Rhinolophus ferrumequinum: one gene and its partners. The protein of the gene in region 3 purifies or fractionates together with the protein of the main gene of each other region. This does not show direct contact. Links are inferred from orthologs where the notes say so. Each region holds a gene or a part of one and is shown on either strand. Other genes may lie near its edges.

Region 1 (7,122 bases), on a different chromosome or scaffold from region 3:
AGAGCAACATGGGGCAGGGAAAAGCCCCAGGGGACACACGGCAGGTGACAAGCACGCCGCACCCAAAAGTCAGATGTAGAGCTGTCTGGACTCAAACTTACCCTCAGCAAATCACGCTGAAGGACAAGGACCGCAGACAGTCAGCTGTGTGTCTGCTCGCAGGTGTGTGTGCACAGAAGCACACACGGGGCAGCCGCCGCACCATGGCAGACAGACACGGCACACTCACGTCAGACCATCTCCAGTCCGCAGCAAAATCACTGCAGGCATGTCTCACTCACGGGGTCGCCGTCTCCCCACTCCTCCCGGTGAGGTACACAGGCATGCACACAAGCAGGTCTCACAGCCCCCGACAAGGAGACAGGTGACATCACCAGCCGTCACAACACCCACCCGGCCGGTCTCTCACACACACACAAACACAGACTGTAGCCCACAGGCTTTGCGGAGCTGACACTGTGGTGTGGGAACAACAGCTACGATGGACAGCCCGTTCAGAGAGAGCAGGTGACAGACCAGGACTCTCCAGAAGGGCACACAGCCTCCCCCTCCACCATGGTCCCCATGCAGCACGGCCTGCCAGCCGCACCCCCAGCCCCCGGCACCTCCAGGCAGCTTCTCCTTCTCGCCAGTAGACAGGCCCAGCTGCTCGGCCAGCTCCTTCTGCATGGGCCCCAGCGTGTCCTTGTAAGGGCAGCGGGTGGTCCAGTGGTCGCCCTTGCAGATGCGGCAGGACACGATCTTCTGGCCCTTGAGCTTATTCATCGGGTCCTCCTCCTCTTGGCAGTTCAGATCCTGACAGGATGGACAAGGGCAGCTCAGAGGAGGGCTGCTGCACCCCTGCCACCAAGAGCCTGGCCAGCACCTTCCCGCCCTATTGCCTCATTTACCTCTTTGCTGGTGATGAAAGTCATGGACACATCATCGCTGACCGTGGTGGTGGCCACATTAGGCCCTGGTAGGTCAAACTCTGAGTTCCCAAACTTCTTCCAGTTCTGGGCTCAGGGCAGGGTGGGGACAGGTCAGGGCAAGAGCAGGTAGGACCACCGCCCCCTGGTACCCAGACCTGCAACAGCGCCCTTCAGGGTGACTGAGCCTTAAACCCCATTCTCCACCCTCTCCAAATGCCCCCTATAGCAGTGACGATGACAGTTCCTATTTCCTGAGTGAGTGCCAGGCTTCACGCCAGCTCCAGGAGGCAGGGGCAGTTCTCACCCCATATTCCAGATGAGAGAACAGAGGCTCAGGGAAACACCTGCACAGCCAACAGCTCCTGGGGGGGCTGTGCAGGTGGTGGCCCAGCTGCCACCAGGGAGTAATGCTCAGGAGTATGCAGGGGTCATCCAAACTTCGGGGGCCTTGGGCTAAACAACCTGGGCCTCAGCTTCCTCTCCTATAAAATGGGGATCACAAATGCTCCCCACCTCCCTGGGTTGCTATGGGGATCAAAATGAGAAAACACTTCCCACAGGGCATTTGGCATGGGGTCTGGCACACAGTGTGCAGATAACTGTGCCAAATGGATTTATTGCTACCACTTCCACTGCTATGACCACCTCAGGGGAACGTTTAGCTTTGTTCCTCCTGGTAGACAAGTCAAGAAGCATAAGAAGCTACCCAACCACTCCTGCAACTTGGACTGTTTGGGGCCTCAACAGAGTACAAACACTCCTCGCCTCAATTCTCCTCCAATAAAATCGGTTAAACTCTTAGACCTCACTTCTGAAAATAAAGGCACTGGGAAAAAGGATTCTTAATTCCTCTGAGTTAGCCCTGGGGTAAGCCCCCAAGACAAGGGAGCAGGGTCTCACCTTCCTCCTTGCAACAGCCTTTGAAGCCTTCCGGGTCTCAATTCTGAAGGTGCGGACAATCTGTGGATGGGAGAGGAGAGGAGAGGAGACATTTGGGCTTCCTGTCCTCAAGGCTCCTGGGCCCAAGGACCCGCCTGACACACCCCTGCTCCCAGCCTCACCTTGAACTTTTTGCCATCCTCATCTATCTTGTACTCAGTCACTGTCTTGATGTTTCCATTGATGACCTCCTTAGGAGACGGAAGTGGAGCTGGATGAAGGGAGAAGGGGAGAGGAACTGAGCCACGGGTAATGGGGTCCCCGCGGAAATGTGGCTGGGGAGAGAGGCAGCCCAGGCATGGAGTGGAGGTCATCACTCACCTCCTGGCAGTAGCTCAGGCTCTGGGCTGGTGTCGCCAGTGGCCAGAGGTATCCCCTTGAGGAGTTCGCTGGTGACACATTTGTCTGTGAGAGGGAGTGTGGGGAGGAGAAGTGAGGTGAAGGGGCGGGAGCTCCCAAGCTGAATGAAATACAGGGACCTTTAGGATGATGCCCACGCCAGGACCTGAAGAAGGTGGGACCGGGGGCAGAGGGCTGGCCAGGAAGTACCCAGGGACAGCTGTGCGGGGACACTGAGCTGGCTGTAGTGACCCAGAGCAATGGCAAGGATAGGGGGCCGCCTGGCATAAAGGCAGGGAGGGGCAGGCCATCAAAGCATCCGGGCGCTGGTACAAAGGCAGAAGGCAGGCTGTTACAACTTCCTCCTGAGTAGGGGAGCGGCTATGAGGGCTTGGGCTGTGAGGCCTGGGGAGGAAGAGGGACTGGCCAGTGAACATCTGGAATTGGCGACAGGCTGGCGCAGATAGGGATGGCGCGGGGCAGAGGCTGGCCGTGGGGGGCGATGCGGGGTCGGCCGGCGGTGCCAAGGTAGAGGGCTAGAGCAGGCGCAGTGACCGGACGACCTGGCGTACTCACCGTCCTCTCCTTCCTCCTCCACCTGGTCGGCCCAGCTGGGCTTCGAACTGCGGGGACAAGTTTGTGGGAGCAAAGGGGTGAGCCAGCGAGGCGAGGCTCCCGCGGCCTCCGCGTACCCAGGCCCCAGAAAACCCCCGAGGACCCTTAAGGCACCTTCCGCCCCCACACCCCACCTTCTGGCGACCCTCGACTCACTCAAAGTCTCCAGTCGGCATCGCAAAACCTCCACGCAGCCCAAGCCTGGGCCAAAGACAGGAAGTGAGGGAAAACTGAAACTTCCGTTGCCGCGGCCTAGAACAGCCCGGCCGCGGGGCCCACAGCGCCCCTTGCGGACGGAGGGGGAGGCGCCAGTTGTGTGAGCTGCTACGCGCTAGTACCCAAGTAGGAGCAGAAGCGTTATCTCAGGGCTTATCCCTTTACCTTTTTGTTTTTAATTGTTAATTATACCTCAGTAAAAAAATAATAAAGTAAAATAATTAATAATAACAATTATGCCAACTCATTAAGCGCTTGCTGTGTGCTAGGCACTGTGAGGAGAAAATTATCATTTCCATTTTGCAGCTGAAAAAAGCAAGGCTGGTCTTCCTCGTCTCCAAAGCACTTCCTGATTCAGATGCTCAAGATGTCAAGTGGCGCCCTCAAGCACTCTCCTTTCTTTCCTTTGTAAATTCTTGGCTCTCTGATATAATCTTTAACACTTACTTGTTTATTGTACAGCTCTCCCTTTAAAGCATGCATTCTCAATGGGAGCGATATGGCTCCCAAGGGGACCAAAATTAATTCGGGTGGGGGGCAAAAATCCTTAAAAATTACAATGGCTTGTGGCCTTCCAAAACCAACCCTCTCAGACAAAATCTTATTACTAAGTATTTAATTTCTGTCATTAGGGAGAAATTAAATGCAATTAAATTGAAATTGATTGACTTACATTAAATTTAAAGACAATTCCATCCTTTTCCTTTACAAGGGTGATAATGAAAAAAGTTTCATTATGTGAAACACTGTTGTAGAATGTCAGCTGCAGAAAGCAGACATTTGCCTACTTTGTTCACCTGTGGGTCCCCAGCACCCACAGGGTGACTGCATGTAGTAAGTGCTCAATTAATGGGCATTTAGGGGGGCAGAGTGGGAATCAGATCATAAAGGACTTTTTAAACCAAACTGAAGAGTGTAGTCTCTTTATCCTGTAGGCAGTGGGTATGGGTGAGATCACTGACATGTTTTTTGTTTTTTAATTCTTATTGGGGAATATTGGGGAACAGTGTGTTTTTCAAGGACCCATCAGTCATTGTCCTTCAATCTAGTTGTGGAGGGCGCAGCTCAGCTCCACGTCCAGTTGCTGTTTTCAATCTTAGTTGCAAGGGGCACAGCCCACCATCCCATAGGGGAATTGAACCAGCAACCCTGTTGTTCAGAGCTTGCACTCGAACCAACTGAGCCATCCAGCCACCCCAGAGATCACTGACATGTTTTGAGAGGTGACCCAGTATGACCAGATTTTTTTGTGAGAAAGATTATTTTGGAAGCCTATAGAGGGTAAAGTAGAAAAGAATGAATTAGCAAGAGACCAGGAAGGAGACTGGGAAAGTGAGTGAAAGAAAGAGGGTGGTCTGGAAATAAGGATGAAAATATAAAGTTTGTACGAAGGGCCAATAAACATTTGTGCACTTACTCAAATTTACTCCAAGAAATGCAAAATACAAACAACGTAGCAGATGGGCAAAACTTTAAAAATGTGATGTTACCCAAAGGTAGCAAAGATGTAGAGAAACAGAGGCTTGTACCTTTTGTTGGTATGTGAAATTATGCAAACTTTTTGGAGGGAAATTTGACATATACTAAAACTTGAAATGCACAGATGTATTTTCCTTTGAGCCACCTAGTAATTTGAACTGTGAGAAAAACTTGTAAATGTTTGCAAAGATGTGAAAATAAGATACCCGTGCAGGATTGTTCATGATAGCAAAAGTCAGAAACAATTATCTGTCCATTTGGTAGGGCTGGTTAAATAGATTAAAGTATGTTTTTTCCATTATCTATGGAATGCTATGCAGTCTTGAAAGAAGTAGATTCATTTGTGCTCATGTTTTAAAAAATCACGATAAGAGGAGGAAGCAAGATGTAAAGTGGCATATGCTATAGGAACCAATTTGTGTAAATCTTTAATTGTACATAGATATGTAGATATATGCAAACTATTTTCAGAAAAGAAATATCAAACTGTTGCTGAGGGATGCTCTGAGAAAGGCATCAGGGGAGAAAATCTTGTTTTTGGACTTTTCTGCTGTATTTAAAATTTTTTACCATGTGTATGCATATATTATCTTGATTTAAATATAAATATATACATAAATATAAAATTTATTTTATATACTTTATGTATTAATATGTAGTGTTTATGTAATATATGCGCGATGTAACATATAAATGTATTTTACTATGTTTTGTACATCCACTACCTTCCATACCCTCTCCTAGGACTAGCCTAGGAGAGGAAATATACATCCAAGTGCATTAAATTGTAAGGAAGTATCCAGCACAGTGTGGCTTAAAGGATTGAAAAACTGAAAACTATGCAACCATCATGAATAAAGAATTAGCTAAATGTTGCCTCATCCATACAAGCACCACCCCTGGAGAGACACTGTACTGCCCAGAGGACATTAGCCACTAAACATGGATGCTTCTGGGTGTTTCGATTTGGCCTCATCTTTACTTCCATTTTGGTATTTTTCTGCATGGAATACTTTTTCTTAAACATCTAGGATGTATCATTTTTATAAAAAGTCAAGTACTTCCCAAAGAAACGTAAAAGGAGGCCGGAGGAAGCATGGGGCAGTGGGGAGAAGACTGAATCCAAGGGTGGATGGGGGAAAGTCCCAGAGCCCCTCCTCAGTTTCTTCTTGGTGGCACCAACTTTCTTCCTACATCTGGCATCTCCAAAGGACAGCAGCCAGCACAGAGCAAACCCAGCTCTGCAATGTGCTTGAGGAGGGGAGCGAGAGCATGATATGCCGTCCTCTGGAAACTCTGCAGCAGCTTCAGGGGGGTTTGCTATAACTCACAATATGGATTCCACTTCTTGGTGTTCTCCATAAGAAATGGAAACATGTCCACAAAAAGCCATGCGTTAGAATATAGACACGGATTGTTCATAGCAGCTTTATTCACAATGGCCAAAAACCAGGAACAACTTCAATTGGTTCGCTAGAGCTTCCATGACAAAGTACCACAGACTGGGCAGCTTTAACAACAGAAATTTATTGGTCTGTCTACGGTATTGCCACACGCCCAGTCTGAGAACTGGGACTGGAATAGAGGTGGTGCTGATCAGTAGTTGTCTGACGCTGTCCACGTTTTCTATTATAATAGTAGTCACAGATGGCTACATGTGAGTGTAGATAAAGCCTACAAGCACATTACACATGTGCACAATAATGGTCACCGGGGCAATGACAGGGTATTAGAGAAGCTTCCTTGTGACACTGAAAGGAGAAACAAACGCTGACCATTTTGTTTGTTGTGGAATTCACTGTACTTTTTCTACAGCTGGCCTTTTTCTAAAAACTCCAAACATGCTTGAGGGAGAAAAGCAGGTTGCAGATAGATATGTGCAGTAGAATAACATTTATCTTTTTCAAAGACACGGAGAATACTAAGTGTACGGACATGCAGATGTGGTAAGTGCCAAAAACCATGGACAGGAAGGAGACATAGCCACACTCTCATAGTGGCTGCGTCTGGGGGAAAAGTAGGCAGGGATCTGGGAAGTGCACAAGTGTTTCAGATGTGCCTTGAAAGTTATTTTATGAAAAAACCATCTGCTGTGATGGGAAACAGTTTGGCAGTTCCTCAAAAAATTAAACACAGAAATTCCATATGATCCAGCAATCCCACTCCTAGGTATACTCTCAAGATAATTGAAATAGAGGTTATTGGGGCTGTACAGGGAGGAGGGAATGAGGAGGTAGTGTTTAATGGCTCCAGTTTCTGTTTGGGAAGATAAAAATGTTCTGGAAATAGTAGTAATGGTTGTATAATAATGTGAGTGCACTGAATGTCACTGAATGGTACACTTGAAAGGGTTTATATGGTTTAAAAAAACCACCCAAATCCAGCCATGATTCTTGACTGAATAAATTAGATCATTAGGGGTTGCAGAATGATTACCTAAATCTACTATTTCTCCTACATTTATAAACTGCCATTCTATCGGAAATAGAGCGTTCTCCTCATCAGCAGGCACCATCTGGTTATCATCAAATACAGTTCCTTCTGGATAAAGGCTTGCTTTTCTCCCTTTAATGATTTCAAAGTGTGACATTTAATAGTCACCTCAAATGGTAACGAGGCTTTC
Region 2 (7,424 bases), on a different chromosome or scaffold from region 3:
AGCAGGAGCACAGGTCATCTTAAACAACAGCTGGGGAACAGTGCCTCGTGTTCTGGAACCCAACTGTCACTCTCATTTCTTTATTATACTCTTAAGAATTTCAACAGGCCAAACTGGACACAAAGTATTTTTTGCTGCATTTCTTTCTCAAAAGTTAAGAAGAATTCTCTCCACTTTTGTGTTTGAAATTTTCCGTAAGTTGAAAAATCTTTCAAAAAGCAAAGCATCCTTTAATTTCAAGAGGCATGCCCTGTTATAAACTATTTCTAATTAATTTCAACCCTTTATGAATGATACTGAAAATGTTACCTAAAGAATTGCCACTTAAATTTCTAAGAAGTTAAAATTGAGACCAAGCAGAGGGAAGAGGGAAAGAGGCAGGTTCGAGTCACAGCAACGGAGGCATCTACCCCAGAGACTGGAGTCAGTCCCTGGGTTCTTTTTAAAGTCCACTTACTATACAATTAAGTGGCCTGTTCAGCCTGATCTGAGTTTACAAGGTTCACAATAAAAAGCCCAGTTTTTATACAAACTGTGGACGCCTTCCCACAACCTTAAAGTTCTTTACAGGAACAAGAATTCTTTTTAAGAAGCTGCCCGTGCACAGTAAGGGAATAGATGCAGTCACTATACGTGAAGAAACACATTTCCATCATCACTACCAGCCTACACCGCTGGTTACTCCTGACTGATGGATTCCCAATCTGGCTCCCAGAGAAACAGAAAGAAGCAATTCTCAAACTAAATAGCAGATATAAACATAAATACTATTTAATGAACTAAAAAGACACTTAAGAGTCAAAACTTTTATATATGTTTGGCCAAGCACCATAAGCAGTTGAAAATTAAAAGTGAAAGGATGGTTGTAATTCAGACACAACTGTGCAAAAGGGCCAGTGTTTCAGAGAGGAGAGGCTGCTCTGCTCTCAAGCGCTGGACCTCATGGCACCTGTGAGAGGCGCTCGCTGCACGAGACTCAGTCCATTCTCAAAAGAAGCGGTACCTTGGGCATCTCAGCTCCCCTACAGGGGGTTCTCATGAAACACAAAACAGACTTGAACTACTGACCACAACCAAGTGGACTCAAGAAAACTGAAGGTTTGCTTAGTTTTAATTCCTTAGGACCAGGAGCCTCACAGGTCACTCTGGCAAAAACATGACGATTACATGGGCTCCAAAAGGTCTGCCCAGCTGTCACCTAACCTGGCTGGCCTTGGGCTCATGTTAACATTCTCTGTCACACACAATTTTGGAAATAATTCACGTTAAAATCTTGTGTGAATTAGATGTCTTCAAATAATGCTTTATAAAAAAATCAATTGCAGAGTAAATACTGGAGGGCTCAAAATGGCCTTTGAAAATCAAAACTTAGATTTCAAAATACACCAGAAGTCGTGTGGTAAAAACAACACTGGTCTGGGCAGGGACGTCCCCGCATCACTGTCTCCCTGTCAGTTCCCAGCCACCTGCTTGGTGGGAAGCCTTCCCAGGGCTTCACTAGCTTGTGGGGGCTTTCCTGCTTCTCATGCTAACGTGCCTTTTACCTTATGAAACACAGTGACAATAACAGGTAACCCTTTAGAATCATGTTTATAAGTTGGCAAATCTATGTTGGTTTTCTAAACTTTTTCATTTTGCTTGACATTCTTTCCGATTCTGACTCAATCTCAGTGCGATCAGACACATCTCCAATCTTTGTGTCTGAACACGGGACACCTCATTTTCTTGGTGTGTCACTGCTGGCGCCACCTTCCCGTTTTACTATAGAGCAGTCAGTACAGTGATGTGCTGCAAGCCTGTCGAGTTCAAACGGCTAAAAACAAAACAGAAGCAAACGATACAGTAAGATCAACTATCATCAAGTCACTTCAGAAGACAGGCTGTCAGGCAGGAAACAGAAAGAAACGTCTGTGAGTCTAAAGGAGGGCAGAGCACGGCGTGGTCAACACCCCCAAACCCTGGAGAAACGACCTGCCGGAGGAGGAGGGGACCTGCTCCTGGGCTGACCGAAAGAGGGGCCCGGAGAGGAACGTGGCCGAACGGCCTGGCACAGACCCACGAAAGGGCTCCACGAGGGCACAACCTTCCGCCGGGCAGAGACAAGGCACCCACAGCCTGTTCTGGGGACGGCATCACACCCACCGCTGAGGGGACCGCCCGGGGGTGTTCCAGGACCCGGACAGCCGTGGCGGACTCTCAGGGCACCCAGACTTGCTGCCGGGGAACTGTCGCCAGAGACCGCGCCGCTCGTGGGGCGTCCTGCTCCGCGCGACCCTAAATGCCACACCGCCGCACGCACGGCCTCAGCGCCCGCTACACGCCTCTGCCCTCGACCTCCAAACACCTGGCCGCAGGAATGGCCGGCTCCCCAAGTTGTCTTCATCCTGCCCCCCCCACTCCTGGAGAAAAGGCAGTCCGGGCTCCCACGGAAAAGCCTCCCTACGTGCGGGACCACAGGTGTAGAATGGAGACGCCCCCCGCCGACTCCCGCGGCGCACCGGGACCCGGGCCGCGTCCGGGGCCTCGAGCACCTTCGCGCAGCCAGGCCCAGCCGCCCTACCTTCCTCGCTCACGTCGTCCACAAAGTCCTCGGGGTCGCTGAAGGAGGGCTCGTCCGCGTCGCCGTCCTCAGCCGCGCCGCCCAGCTCCTCACCCGCTCCGTCGGACCGGGCCTCAGCTGCCGCGTCCCTGGCCTGTTCCCCAGGGGCCTCGCCCACGGCAGGGTCCGGGGACTCCTCGGGCGACTGCAGGGACGGGGCGGGGGTCGCGCTTGCCGCTTCCTCCCCGTCGGCCGCGGGCTCGGCCGGCACTTCAGGCCCCGGCCCGGCCTCTGCTTCAGCCTCAGCCTCCGCCTCCGCGTCCTCTCCGCCCGCCGCCTCCTGCGCGCCGAGCCCCGCGAGCCGCGGCGGCTCCTCGGCCGGTGGCGGCTCGGCGTCCAGCTGCTGCTGCTGTCCGGGCTCGGCCCGCTCCTCGGCCGCCTCCGGCGCCGCCACGTTCTCTGAGTCCTGCATGAGCCCGCCGCTGCCGCCTCGCCCGGCCTCGCCGCGCTTCCGACTCTCCCAGGCCGCACCGCGCCTACCGCCGGGCCATGTGCGTGCGGCGGGGCATCCCACGAGGATCAGAGGGGTGCGCGTCCACGCCCTGCTGCCTCACAGCGTGGCCGGAGGAACTCAGAGGGCAGAAGTGCGTCTACCAGTGATTACGATCGTGCTCCCCTGACAAGTACGTGCTCAGTTCCAATCACCACAGTTCCTCGGCTCAACGTACAAACTCATTGGGAACTATAACCACCCTACTTTTGGTAGAGGATGGTTTCGCCCAATATGGCAGCCACTCTCGTCCTTCTCCCGTCGGGCGCTACGGCGAAGGACTAAACTATTTATGACGCCGATCGGAGGTACCAGAAGTCAGCTTAGTATTCAGAATTGTGTGGAAGCATAGCTCAAAGATTAATACTAGAAAAAATTGTAAGTTCAACAAACTATTTTGGTTGTGATGTCTCAGCCTTTCACCGGGCAGTTTCGCTTACATTACTGAGTCCCCCCCTTGACATGTCGGTTTTTAGACTCGTCTACTGACTGGGCACAAGAATGGACGATTCCAAAATACAAAAGGAATTCCTGGTAAGCCAGAGATGGCCAGCACTCCTAGAAAGACGCTCTCTAGCGCAATACAAAAGTAAATGAGAGTTGCTTTCATCAGGTATGCCCAAGCCCATCGAGGAGGCTGTAATTCCGCCTTTCCCCATTCTGATGGTCACCATGGTTCTGTCCGCAGAAGCCTGGGCCCTCGGACGCGGGAGCGAGCGCGAACCACGTGCTCGGGGCCGGGGCGGGGCCAGGAGCTGGAAGCTGCCCCCGGTGAGTGACAGGAGGCGGCGCGACAAGTCTGGCTCGGGCTTGCTCCCTTCGGAAAGGGTATTCTGTATTTGTGTCTTGTACTTTGCTTATTGCCAGGCGTGAGGGCAACCGCTCGTTGGAGGTGTTTTAATCATCCAAAAAAAGAACTGAGTGGCTGGGGGTAGAGGACCGGGGAGTTGTTTAATGGGAACAGTTTCAGTTTGGGAAGATGAAAAGTTGCCGAGATGGAGAGTGGTGATGGATACACAACATTGTGAATGTATTTAATGCCACAGAACTGTGCAGTGAAAATGGCTAAAATGGTAAATTTAATGTATATTTTACTTCAATTGAAAAGAAAAAAACGTGTTCTTGTGTTGCCTCATACTAAGTTTGAATCTTCCCCATCTTACTTTCAGCTGTAACTTTGGGCAGGTCACTTGACTTCTCTGCCTCAGTTTCCCTGTCTGTAAAATGGGGAGTAACCCATTTTATGTGCGTGGCCTGTGGACTCGTTTCATAAAGACAAACCGATTCCTCCTAGAGGTCAAAGTTTTCCTAATTTCTAGTTTCATCCGCAGTTTTCACAGATCGTTGGGCTCTGCTAGCCCTTTTCTTCTAGAAAGTGCTAACAGTGACAGATGTGATCGAGGATAGACACTCCCGGAAAGCTTGGAAACAGCTGATGTAGGTTTGGCAGCTTCATGCTTTTCAGGGAAGACCTCTGTGGCATGCACGTGCTACATAGAGTGGCCGCTCACTGCTATTCCCCGGTGAAGGGACTTGGCATGTGCTTTAATGCAGGGAAAGTTATGAATGAACTCATGAAAGGGAAAAAAATATGCGTTTTCCAATATCCGCTAGTGCCCTAGAGCGAGCGCCAACACCCTCAGCAGTGCCACCAGCCTCAAAGGTCTGAGAAGGGCTGCAGCTGATATCCAGGTGGTAGGAGCACCCAAGTGGGTACTCTGCTTCACAGGTGCTGTTTTCTTTACGAGTTGCAGGCTTGTGGCTGCCCTGTGGGGAGCAGGTCTATCGGTGCCTTTTTTCCAACAGGCTCAGATGATGGTTAGATGGTTACCATTTTCTAGCAATAGAATATTTTTAAATTAAGGCATGTACATTATTCTTTTAGACATAATGCTATTGAACACTTACTTAATAGCTGACAGTATGGTGTAAAGATAACTTTTATATGCACTAGGAAACCAGAAAATCCTCGTGACTCGCTTTATTGCAGTATCCGCTTTACGGCTGTGGTCTGGAGTGGAACCTGCCGTACCTCAGATCTGCCTGTGCCTGGTCAGAAAAGAATGTATGATTCTTGCCGTCTTAGAATGACTGTGTGATCGGAGCAACGTTTGTGGGTCCAAACATGACAGAAGTGTGTGTAGTGGTGCATTTGTGATAAGTTCACAAATTCTTAGGTACTCCTTTCAAAAGTGGAAGCCAAACCCTGCTCCCCCAAAGTGGGGGTGGACTTAGTCACTTCTAATGAACAGGATGTGGAAGAAGGGATTTTAGGTGATTTCCATGTCTAGGTCCTGAAAATGATGAGCTTCCACCTGGCTTGGGCTTTCTCTCTCTCTCTCTCTCTCTCTCTCTCTCTCTCTCTCTCTCTCTCTCTCTCTGGTCACTGGCCCTGAAAGAAGCTAGCCACCATGTCCTGAGGACACTCAAGCCATCTGAAGGGGCCCCCATTGGAAGAACTGAGCTCCCTACCCTACATTAGCACCAACTTGCCAGACACGTGAAATGGGAGTGGATCCTCCAGCCCCTGTCAAGCCTTCAGATGGCTGCAGCCCCAGCCATGTCTTAGGACAGGCCTCAGGGAAAACCAACCTTGTCGAAACCTTGTCTTGGACTTCCAGCCTCCAGAGCTGTGAGACATAAATTTCTGTTTAAGCCGCTCTCTCTGTGGTGTTTTGTTATGACAGCCCAAGCACACTCATACGATAGGTAACTATGTAAAATACATAGAAAGAGGCCTGGAAGGATATACATTAAACTGAAGACAGGGTTTGATGATGGTAAGTAGTATTGGTGGTGTTGGCCAAAGAAAAATGTTTACTGTAGAATCTAAGTGAATGCTTTGTGACTGTTCACTGTAAAATTCTTTCAATTTTTCTGAGTGTTTGAACGTTTTTATAGTAAATTTTTTGGGGAAAGGACTTTAAGAGGCCCCCCCCCATTGCAACAATTTGAGCCTCAAAAAGACTAAAAACTCAATATGACATTCATAAAGTATGTTTAAATCCTTTTGTTCATAATGCTATTTTTAAAAAATCCTGTTGATCACAGGGGAATATTGCTGGAGCATTGTCTCGTTATTCTGGAAAGAAAGAAAAGACTCAAGCACACCATGGATGAGCCTTGAGGACATTATGCTAAGTGACTAAGCCAGACGGAAAAGGACAAGCACTATATGATTCCAGTCAGATGAGGTCCCTAGAGGAGTCACTTCATAGAGACAGAAGGTAGAACGGTGGTTATTGGGGCTGGGGAGTGAGTGTTTCACAGAGACAGAGTGTCAGTTTGGGAAGATGGAAACTTCTGGAGACGAACGGTGGTGATGGCTGCACAACAATGTGAATGTGCTCAATGCCGCTGAGCTGGACACTTAAAAATGGTTAAGATGATAAATTTTATCTTGTGTATATTTTACCAAAATAAAATGTTTTAAAAAGAAAACAATTCTTGAAAGCCGTCAGTTCTGGTGGTAGTCCTCCTGCCAGCCAGATGGTAACCTGAGCTGGATGCTGAATTGACGGCCTTAGTCTTTTCCTAGGTGAATCGTCCCCTTTGGGTGTTGGGAGTCGTGGACAGAATTAAGGAATCCGCAGAAGAAACACCTCGCCTCCAGGTGGCGATCTCGGCCCGCCCTCTGCAGGTAATGAAATGGGGTTGCTGTTTCACTCCTTACGTTCCTAACATAGTACGCAGCTCTCAGATGAGTTTCTGTCATTTCTGCAGGATATTTGATCTGAACAGGGCTGTCTGTAAGCTCACAGAGCAGGGAGAAGAGTGAAGAGGGATAGGTGGACTCACAGGGTCCATCAAATATGGCCCACATCATGCACGCTTCTCACTTGACCAAGCCTACCTCTGCCTTCTGCAAAGGCTGATTTGCCCCCTCTCTGCAGATGGGGGGCATGGTCAGGAATCAGACAGCCCTTGTTCGACTCCCGGGGACCTTGAGCAAGTTCTTTATCTTCTCTGAGCCTGTTTCCTCAGTGTGACATACATGACCTTGGAACAAGCTCGAGGGGTCCGTAGGGTGGGGAGCGTTTCCGCCTTGGTCCTCGCTGTACCATGCAGTAACAAACCCAGCTGCCAGGCACTGTTCTAAGACATCACACGGTTTCGCTCAACTAGTTCTCAGGCAGCCCCCAGAAGCGGGGACTGCTAATGCCTCCACTCTGAAGGGGGCGTTCCAGCCAGGGCTGGCTTCAGCCGCTCCCCTCCACTGGGCCCTGCCCCACTCGGCTCTGTTCTATCCTGCCACCTCCCTTTTTCAGAAACAAATGCCTTCACTGTGGTCCTTTGTGCAGAGGGTGGTGGGCACTGGAAAGTGGAGTCTGTGGT
Region 3 (7,502 bases):
AAAACATTAACCCAGGAGATCCTTTGCCGGGATCCCATCACAATCTGTATTTCAATACCTATTTCACCCATCCTAACATGATGTCTTCAATAAATCACAATGCAAGGATTGTAAGTTCCTTATATTCCAATTTATAGCAAGCAACCAACTTCCCTTTTCTTTCCAATAAACAGTTGCTTTACAGTAAGATCTTAGAAGTTCATCACGAAGACTTACCAGGTGGGTTTTTGAGAATGAATGTGCAGAGTTTATGATGTGTGTCAAGCATGCCTCGATAACCACAGGCTTTACAAGAATTACCTATTGTTTGCTTCTTTGGATTGACATGCTGCCAAAAAAAATTAAAAACAAGTATGTCATCCATTATACACGAAAATTCTGTAAGGAAAAAGTGTGAAAATACCCAACTACCATTAAGACATCTAAAACCCTGTCTTAACGTACCAAAGAATTCTCCCCCTCCTCCAGTGATCTACTTTAAAAAATTAGCATGGGAATATCTCCAAAATTTGTACATTACGTCCGCTCGGCCTTCTGAAGAACACGATTTGGAGCGATCACAGAACTGATCACAAAAGCAATGTTGTTTCTTCTCTTATTGACAAAAACTTCAAAGGCACTCACCAGCTCTGTTTCAGGATTCTCACACTCAGGACAGAGAACAAATTTTTTAATGAATCCATCCAACATGTCTTGCAGCTTATTCGCCTCATGAGATCCATTGACAATGTAACGGTCATTCTTAACATCAAACTGGGTCTGTGCTCCCAGTTCACAACCAAAATATTTGGTGGGATCTAGTTGGATAAAAAAGGTTTGATTCATTACATTTAACTCATCTTTGGCTACTCAGCCACACTGATACAAGTATCACTCCCTATGTTTTTATATTAGATTAAAAAAGTGTGTTGCCTGGGTAGTTCTTTGTACTAATGGCAACTAGCAACTAGTAAGTTGTGTTTTAACTCCAAGGTTCCACTTAACCCTTGAGCTAATTAGTAAATAATTCAGACAAGATATGCAAATCAAAAGATGATTATGACTACATCAATAATATGCCTTTTCAAACTTCTTCAAGAGACATTACTTACACGTTGGAGGCCGATTAAGCGCCTTTGCAACGTCAACCATGTTGACTATAACTGTCTTGATTCCATTTCCTTTGCCCTCAACCTAAAGAAAATAAGAATTTAATTTTGAACTGTCTACCCAGGAGATACAATCTTAAAAAAAAACAAACAAAAAAAAACTGCAAGGAGTTTAGGACTTGCTACTAAAATGAAGATCCGTATTACCTTGGCAATCAGACGGGGCATCTTGTAGCGATAGAACTGGTCTGACACGCTGCGGTTGACGTTGACAGACATTTTGGCTTATTAGTGGCTTTATCAATAAGATGAAGAGATCTTTGATTGCAACTTTTTGGTATCTTCTGTCTGGAGAAGAAGGGATGACATAAACGACTGCAAGAGTTCTCGGTCTCTGACATGAAAAAGTTTTCGCCACTGAGGCTGTAAGCTTCTTGCTTGTATGCTATGTTTCCCCAATACAGGTACCAATGGCTGCGCAACAGCTCTGAAAGAGAAAAGGAGAACACACAACCCCGCACACACTTAGCATGACTCCCGTATGGAAACGCCTCCCTTTACATTCCAGTTAGTTATGCCTAATTTTCTCATGTTGAAAAGCATGCCCGGTTCGCGTGAAAAAGGATGTGTATTTTCACCTAACACGAAACACCTGTAGCAACATAAAAGGCCTCCATTTTGATTAAGATGTGACTCTGGCAGGGAAACGCCAGACTAAAAGCAACAAACTGCGCTGCTTCCCAGCATTGTAACAGGCCAACTTCTGTGGAGTGGCCCTTATTTTAACAACTGATGAAAAACGAACACAAAACCTCTCCTCCCCCAAACCGAGCCTGTATTGATAGCTCCCATACACTCTCCCCACGAATCGTCATTTTAAGACGGAAAACTATGAAACTCTTCTTCACAAATGGTTCCTTCGGCAACAAATGCTTACTTCAAAGAAACACTCCCATAACACACAGGAAACGAGGTCTCCTTGGAGCGAGCGTGCACCGAGGGACGGAGTGGCCCGACCTCGACCTCCTCTCCCTTGCTCTGCTCTACGCAAACACACAGTTAACCTTCGCTCCCGTCCCCATGGCCACGAGTCGTTTCGTTCGCAGCTGCCAAAGGCTGCGCCCAGCACCGCCTGCGAGGCGCGACATCGCCAGGCTTGTCCTCCGCGGCAGGTGGAGCGGGCCGCAGACACCCCGCATGTGCCGGCCTCCGCGGGCGCAGAGCCACGGCACCGCGGGGCGAGGGAAACGAAACCTGCCGAGGGGCGCCAGCCCGGGCCGCCCCCGCCCCGCCCCGGAGCGAGCGATGACTCATAAATGCAGCAAGGAGGCCTGACTCAGCCCCGGCGGCGGGCCCGCGCGGCGCGCTCCCGTCAGGCGGAGGCGCGGGGGAGGGGAGAGGGGCCGGGTGTAGGAGGGGAGGGGGCGCCCGCTCGCCGGGCCCCGCCGCCCGCCCGCCCGAACTGCGCCACACGCGCCGGGTCACGCGGCGCGCCGCCATCTTGTGCGGCCGCCATCTCCCCGCCGGCCCGCGCCGCCCGCGGACTCACCGTTTTCGTCAAATAAAGACATAAACCCAACGCTGCTCGCCCGGGACTGGGATGAAGTGAGGCGCGTGTGAACCCGAGTCCGAGGAGGGGCGGCGGAGGCGGCGGAGGAGCACAGCGACCAGCGGCCAGGCAGGCGCCGCCGAGCAGCGGGGAGGGGCTGTCCCAGCGACGTCCGGGGTCCACACCCTTCAGCGCCCGGGGCCTGGCGACCTGGCGCGGAGAGACGGCGCCGTGAGCCGCGGGCGTCGGGGCGCCTTCCCCGCCAGCCAGCGGCCCGCGGGGGTCGAGGGGGCGGGGAAGGCTGGGAAGGGGGCGCGGGGCCGCCACCTCCCCACAGGACTCACCTCTGGAATGTTCTCGCTGTGACTGAACAACGCCGCCGCCGCGCTCAAGCTACCCTCGGCCCCAGCGCCCGCCCCCAGCGCCAAGCGGCACAGCCCATTGGCCAGAAGCCCGCCCGAGCTTACTCGTCATTGGCCTGCGTGCCGCGTCAATCGCAACCTCCACCGCCCCTTCTGCTTCCTGAGGCTCCACTCGCCGCCTCATCCCGCCCCCAGCTCCGGGTCCCGGCTTCCTTCACCTGCCCTCCCTTTCCCCCGCTTTTCCCAGAAGTCTTCGCGGTCTCGCGAGACCCGGTGAGCCGCGACAGCGGGCTTCGGCCGCGGGGTCGCGCTTTGTCGGTTTGGGCTCCCGGGGGTAGATGGCGGTTGGTTCTCCTCCCCTGCCGTTTGGCCTGCCGCGTTCCCGCCGGCGTTCTCCCCGTGGTGGGCTCGTAGCCTCGATGGGGCGGGGGATCGGCCCTGCCCTCTGCGTCCCCCGGGGACGCCCGCTTTCGGGTCTTGGGGAAGTTATTTTTTTCTCCCCACTTCCTAGGCCTGGGCATACAGTGGAAATTGGAGGCTGGGCCTGGGAGTTTCATTGTAGTGCTGCCCTGTATCTTCCGAAGCTCAGGTCTGCGTGGCCGCGGTGACCGTGACTCACCAAGTCACCATTGCAGGGTCGTCGTGAGGCTCCATCGCCCGCCTCCCTGGCTCCCTCCCCGGCACCCGGCCTACGCACCTAGTTTGGCAGGTCACTCGTCCATCCGTTTTCAGGACCTCCTGAAAGCGCATCTTGGAAGGGGTGACCGTGTTCTAGTGCTCCACTACCAGTGTGCTCAAAATAAGCCCAGACGGTGAGAGCCGTTCATATTTTAGTTTCGTTGACCTTACAGAAACTCTCCCACTCTTTCAGAAACATCTTGTGTAAAACTTTCAGTTGCGATTGTAAAAAGTCAGTCCACCTTGACTGTATTTGAATAAATGCATGACTAAAAGAACAAGCGCCAAGTAACGGAGCTGTTGGTTCTAACCTGCCGTGGTGGTCTCTAAGCCGCCATGGTTTCCCCAGCTTTGGATAAAGTGGTAATGTTGTTCAGGACAGGATGAGGTGGATAAGGGGCTGCCCATTGTAGTAGATCAGTCGAATTTTCAAGAAAGTTAGAATTGAAAGATACATTAATTTTATTAAAATTCAAGATCACTCTTCTATGACTTACAAGCTTTTCTAAACCATTTTAAGATTGACAGTGTCTGTGGGGAGAATAAAGAGCTAAAACTGAGAGAGGTGATTTGTGTCCTTTGGTGCAGGGGCTTTTGTTAAAATTACAGTATATACATCCGTGTAAACCACACGTGTAATACATTGTGGGTGCCAGGGTTTCCATAGGACAAACTACAAAGGTAGATCCCAGAAAGGCTGCTTCTGGGTCGCTGCGGAGCATGTCTTAGTATAGTGGTATTTGGAACGTTTGAGTTTGCATGACTACATGCAAATGACATTATTTTAGAAACCCCGTTGGAAAATAAGGGCATGAGACTAGTGTGAGGTAAGTAGCCTGCCTCCTCAGAAAAGGTATTTAAATAATACAAAGTGGTTACTTTTTTGGTGGCCCCATATTTAATTTCATTCAAAAAGTTTGTGCTAATTTTAACTTTAATTTAGAGTATGTGTACTGTGGACAAAAAAGGGGTTCTACAGAAAACAACCACAGGGTGAAATGATCCTAAATTCCCAACTGGGTGCGTCATGGTGGGTAGTCACGCCCTAGGCATATAACTTTTTAGCAAAAAGTTCATCTTTGCCTTAAGCAAGCGCTGTCTATTGTTTTTGTACATCTAGGTTAACACACCTTGAAACAAGCATAACCATCCTCAAGAGAGCACATAATGTTCTTTTTTTTATTTTTTTTATTTATTTATTTTTTTATTGGGGAAGGGGAACAGGACTTTATTGGGGAACGATGTGTACTTCCAGGACTTTATTTTTTTTATAATGTTCTTAACTGTCCTGTAATCCAGTCCCCCACCTCACTTTCTCCCACCTTCATGTAATCTTTCTTACAGTCCCTCCTTAATTTCAAATGCATGAAAGAAACCGTGAAACTCATTTTCCAAAGCATTTGAGATCTAGCTTCCCAGCAATTTATGTCAGTTTTGGCTCAAATAAACTTGTAAAAATTCTCTACAGGTTTGGACATATGTCAACAGTACCAGTCATCTGCATCTAATCACACACAACATTTTAAACTTAGTCTTAACCATTCCATTTGTTGAATGCCTCTCATAACCTAGGTATTTGCTAAGTCCTTTGAATACACTATCTTATTTACTTCTTAGCCCCTAGGAAGAATCTTTATTCCCACTTTACAAGCGAGCAAACTGAGGTTTAGTGGAAAAAAACTAAGCAGCTTGCCCAAGATAATACCTATTAAGTAGCAGAGCTAGAAGTCAGACCCAGATCTGTATGATCTCAAAATCTGTTCCCTTAACTATTATGTGACACAGCCTCTCCAGGTAAATATAAACTAAATTAGGTAATTTTCATATGTAATCTAATGTAATTCTTTAAGAGTCAATGAGGGAGTGTTGTTATGCCCGTTTTACAGATGACAAAGAGACTCAGGGAGGTTGAGTAATTTTTCCAGAGTCATCTGTCTAGTAAAAAGTGGACAGTGTTTGAACTCGAGCTTGTTTGAAGCCAAGCTCATTGCATGCTTCCGCCTCCTGTTTCTGGATCTCTTTGCCTCATTTGGCTATTCCTTCCTCCAGTCAGGTGCTCAGTTTATGGGCATTTGGTGCTTATGATATCCTTGTTGAATGGGTCCTGCATTTCGGTGTGTGCCTGGACGGCGGACACGGATAGCTGCTGAAAAAGCTAATTAGTAAATTGGCCTTCCGGTTGTTTCCATATTGGTGGCTGTGAATCTGTTTGGCATGAATTAGCCCCCTTAGCAAGATCAAGTCTGTGTGGATGGAGAACCTTGTGCCTCTGTGAGGGGCCTCTGATTGGCCAGCTGGCCTCCCTCTTTGACAACCCTTTCTCAGCTTTCTCTAACCTCCAGTGTGTTTTAAAGTGATTGTTAGTCACTTAAGTTCCTGTCGCCCCTACTTGAGGATGAGCTACAGGGGGCGAGCATGGTTTTTCTTCTTGCACTAGCCTGTCACAGTGGATGCATAGAACAGACATTCGGAGCTGCTGGAAGGGAACTGAAGGTTATCTGGTGTGTACAGAGGTGGCGAAGGGTGTGGCTGTGTAGAGGGCTAGTGTCCTAAACCGTGGTAATCTAATGCAGCCAGAGCAATAAACATTTCTGAACTGCTAGGCAGCAAAGGTACAGTCCCCACCTACACCACAGGCCCTGCCCAGGGAGGCTGCAGGTAAACAAATGTAGGTCAGTATCTGCCTGGGGGACACCCACGGAAGGCATGCGCCCCTCCGTGGCATCTCAGCCTCTGGACAGGATGTCTCCCACCTTTGTGACACCCTCCCCACCTCCTCCACACCAGTGGCATTCATGGCACTTTATTGCTGGTGCCTGTTTACTTGTCCGCCTTCCTTACTGGGCTAAACAACTTGCAGGCAGCGGCCTTGTCCTTGAAGACAACAAAGGAATCTGAACTTTGGCGGAGGACTGGGGGCCTTCAGTTTTGAAGGAGACAGAGGCAGGAATCAGAGCTGTCTGTGAGGAAGAGAAGAAGCACCCAGGCAAGGTCACGCCAGCATCCAGGAGACTGACGTGATGTCTTCCTTCTCCTGAGCACGTAACTCCCACCAGAGTCTATTTCGTGCCATTCCTGGAAAGAGAGAAAAAAGTGCAAAATGGTTTCTATTCAGTAGATGGTGGGGAAGTGTGGATGACTCGGAGGGAAGGCCTTGCTCCTGGATGGGTTGTGTCTCGGTCACATGGGAGCCACGCACAGCACCCCGGTCCAGGACACGACCGTACTAGGAGCTCCAGGCTTGCTTTGGGTCCTTTCTTCAGGGAAGCCAGGTGTGTGGCTGGGGAACTGGACCCTCCACTATACGACTCCAGTGTCAGTTGGAAAGGCATTACTCACACACAGGGCGCTGCCCTGAGAATACATGGTGTGTGCAAAAAAGGGCTGGAATAAGCCGAAGTGTTGCAAGACAGTGGGACTCCCGCTCTGATTCCAGACAGCCATTTGTAAACCTTTGTGAGAGAGCATCTCAGTATGTACCCAATCTCTGCCACACAGTGTCCTCTTTTGATGTGAATTTGGCACATTTGGTCCATTTAGACAGATGGAGTCCAGAGACCAGACAGCTAACGGATCCCTGATGGTTGGTGTCTTGTGGCCCGTGCTGGAGCCCTAGACCCACACCACCAGGAAGCACGGTGTGTCAGCTGTCACATAGGGCAAAGCTGTCGTCAGGCGGAGTTTCTGAGCATAAATCTCTACGGCTACATTCTGGGCTCTGTGTTTCTTAAAGGATGCCTATCCTAGTGTAAGGCTGATTTCCCTAAACCAGTGGCTCTTAAATGTGGTGAGCATCAGAGTCCCCAAGGGCTGAATAGAACACAG

Evidence for each region.
Region 1: the proteins of EIF5 (region 3) and EIF3G purify together in Homo sapiens (affinity purification with western blotting; 3 studies listed by BioGRID and IntAct, with this or other methods). This does not show direct contact. The link is inferred for Rhinolophus ferrumequinum from reciprocal best matches to the Homo sapiens genes EIF5 and EIF3G.
Region 2: the proteins of EIF5 (region 3) and EIF3B fractionate together in Homo sapiens (co-fractionation; 3 studies listed by BioGRID and IntAct, with this or other methods). This does not show direct contact. The link is inferred for Rhinolophus ferrumequinum from reciprocal best matches to the Homo sapiens genes EIF5 and EIF3B.

Annotation. Positions count from the first base shown.
Region 1 is NC_046301.1:40,043,090-40,050,211, reverse strand, and holds the start of EIF3G (eukaryotic translation initiation factor 3 subunit G), read right to left. Parts: upstream 3,065-7,122; 5' UTR 2,981-3,064; coding exon 2,961-2,980; intron 2,813-2,960; coding exon 2,766-2,812; intron 2,256-2,765; coding exon 2,172-2,255; intron 2,062-2,171; coding exon 1,973-2,061; intron 1,872-1,972; coding exon 1,812-1,871; intron 996-1,811; coding exon 891-995; intron 796-890; coding exon 606-795; intron 1-605. UniProt on the Homo sapiens protein: RNA-binding component of the eukaryotic translation initiation factor 3 (eIF-3) complex, which is required for several steps in the initiation of protein synthesis.
Region 2 is NC_046307.1:43,408,380-43,415,803, forward strand, and holds the start of EIF3B (eukaryotic translation initiation factor 3 subunit B), read right to left. Parts: upstream 3,054-7,424; 5' UTR 3,012-3,053; coding exon 2,561-3,011; intron 1-2,560.
Region 3 is NC_046289.1:1,845,766-1,853,267, forward strand, and holds the start of EIF5 (eukaryotic translation initiation factor 5), read right to left. Parts: upstream 3,089-7,502; 5' UTR 2,982-3,088; intron 2,848-2,981; 5' UTR 2,638-2,847; intron 2,309-2,637; exon of another isoform or gene 2,026-2,308; intron 1,576-2,025; 5' UTR 1,368-1,575; coding exon 1,296-1,367; intron 1,174-1,295; coding exon 1,092-1,173; intron 798-1,091; coding exon 625-797; intron 329-624; coding exon 217-328; intron 1-216.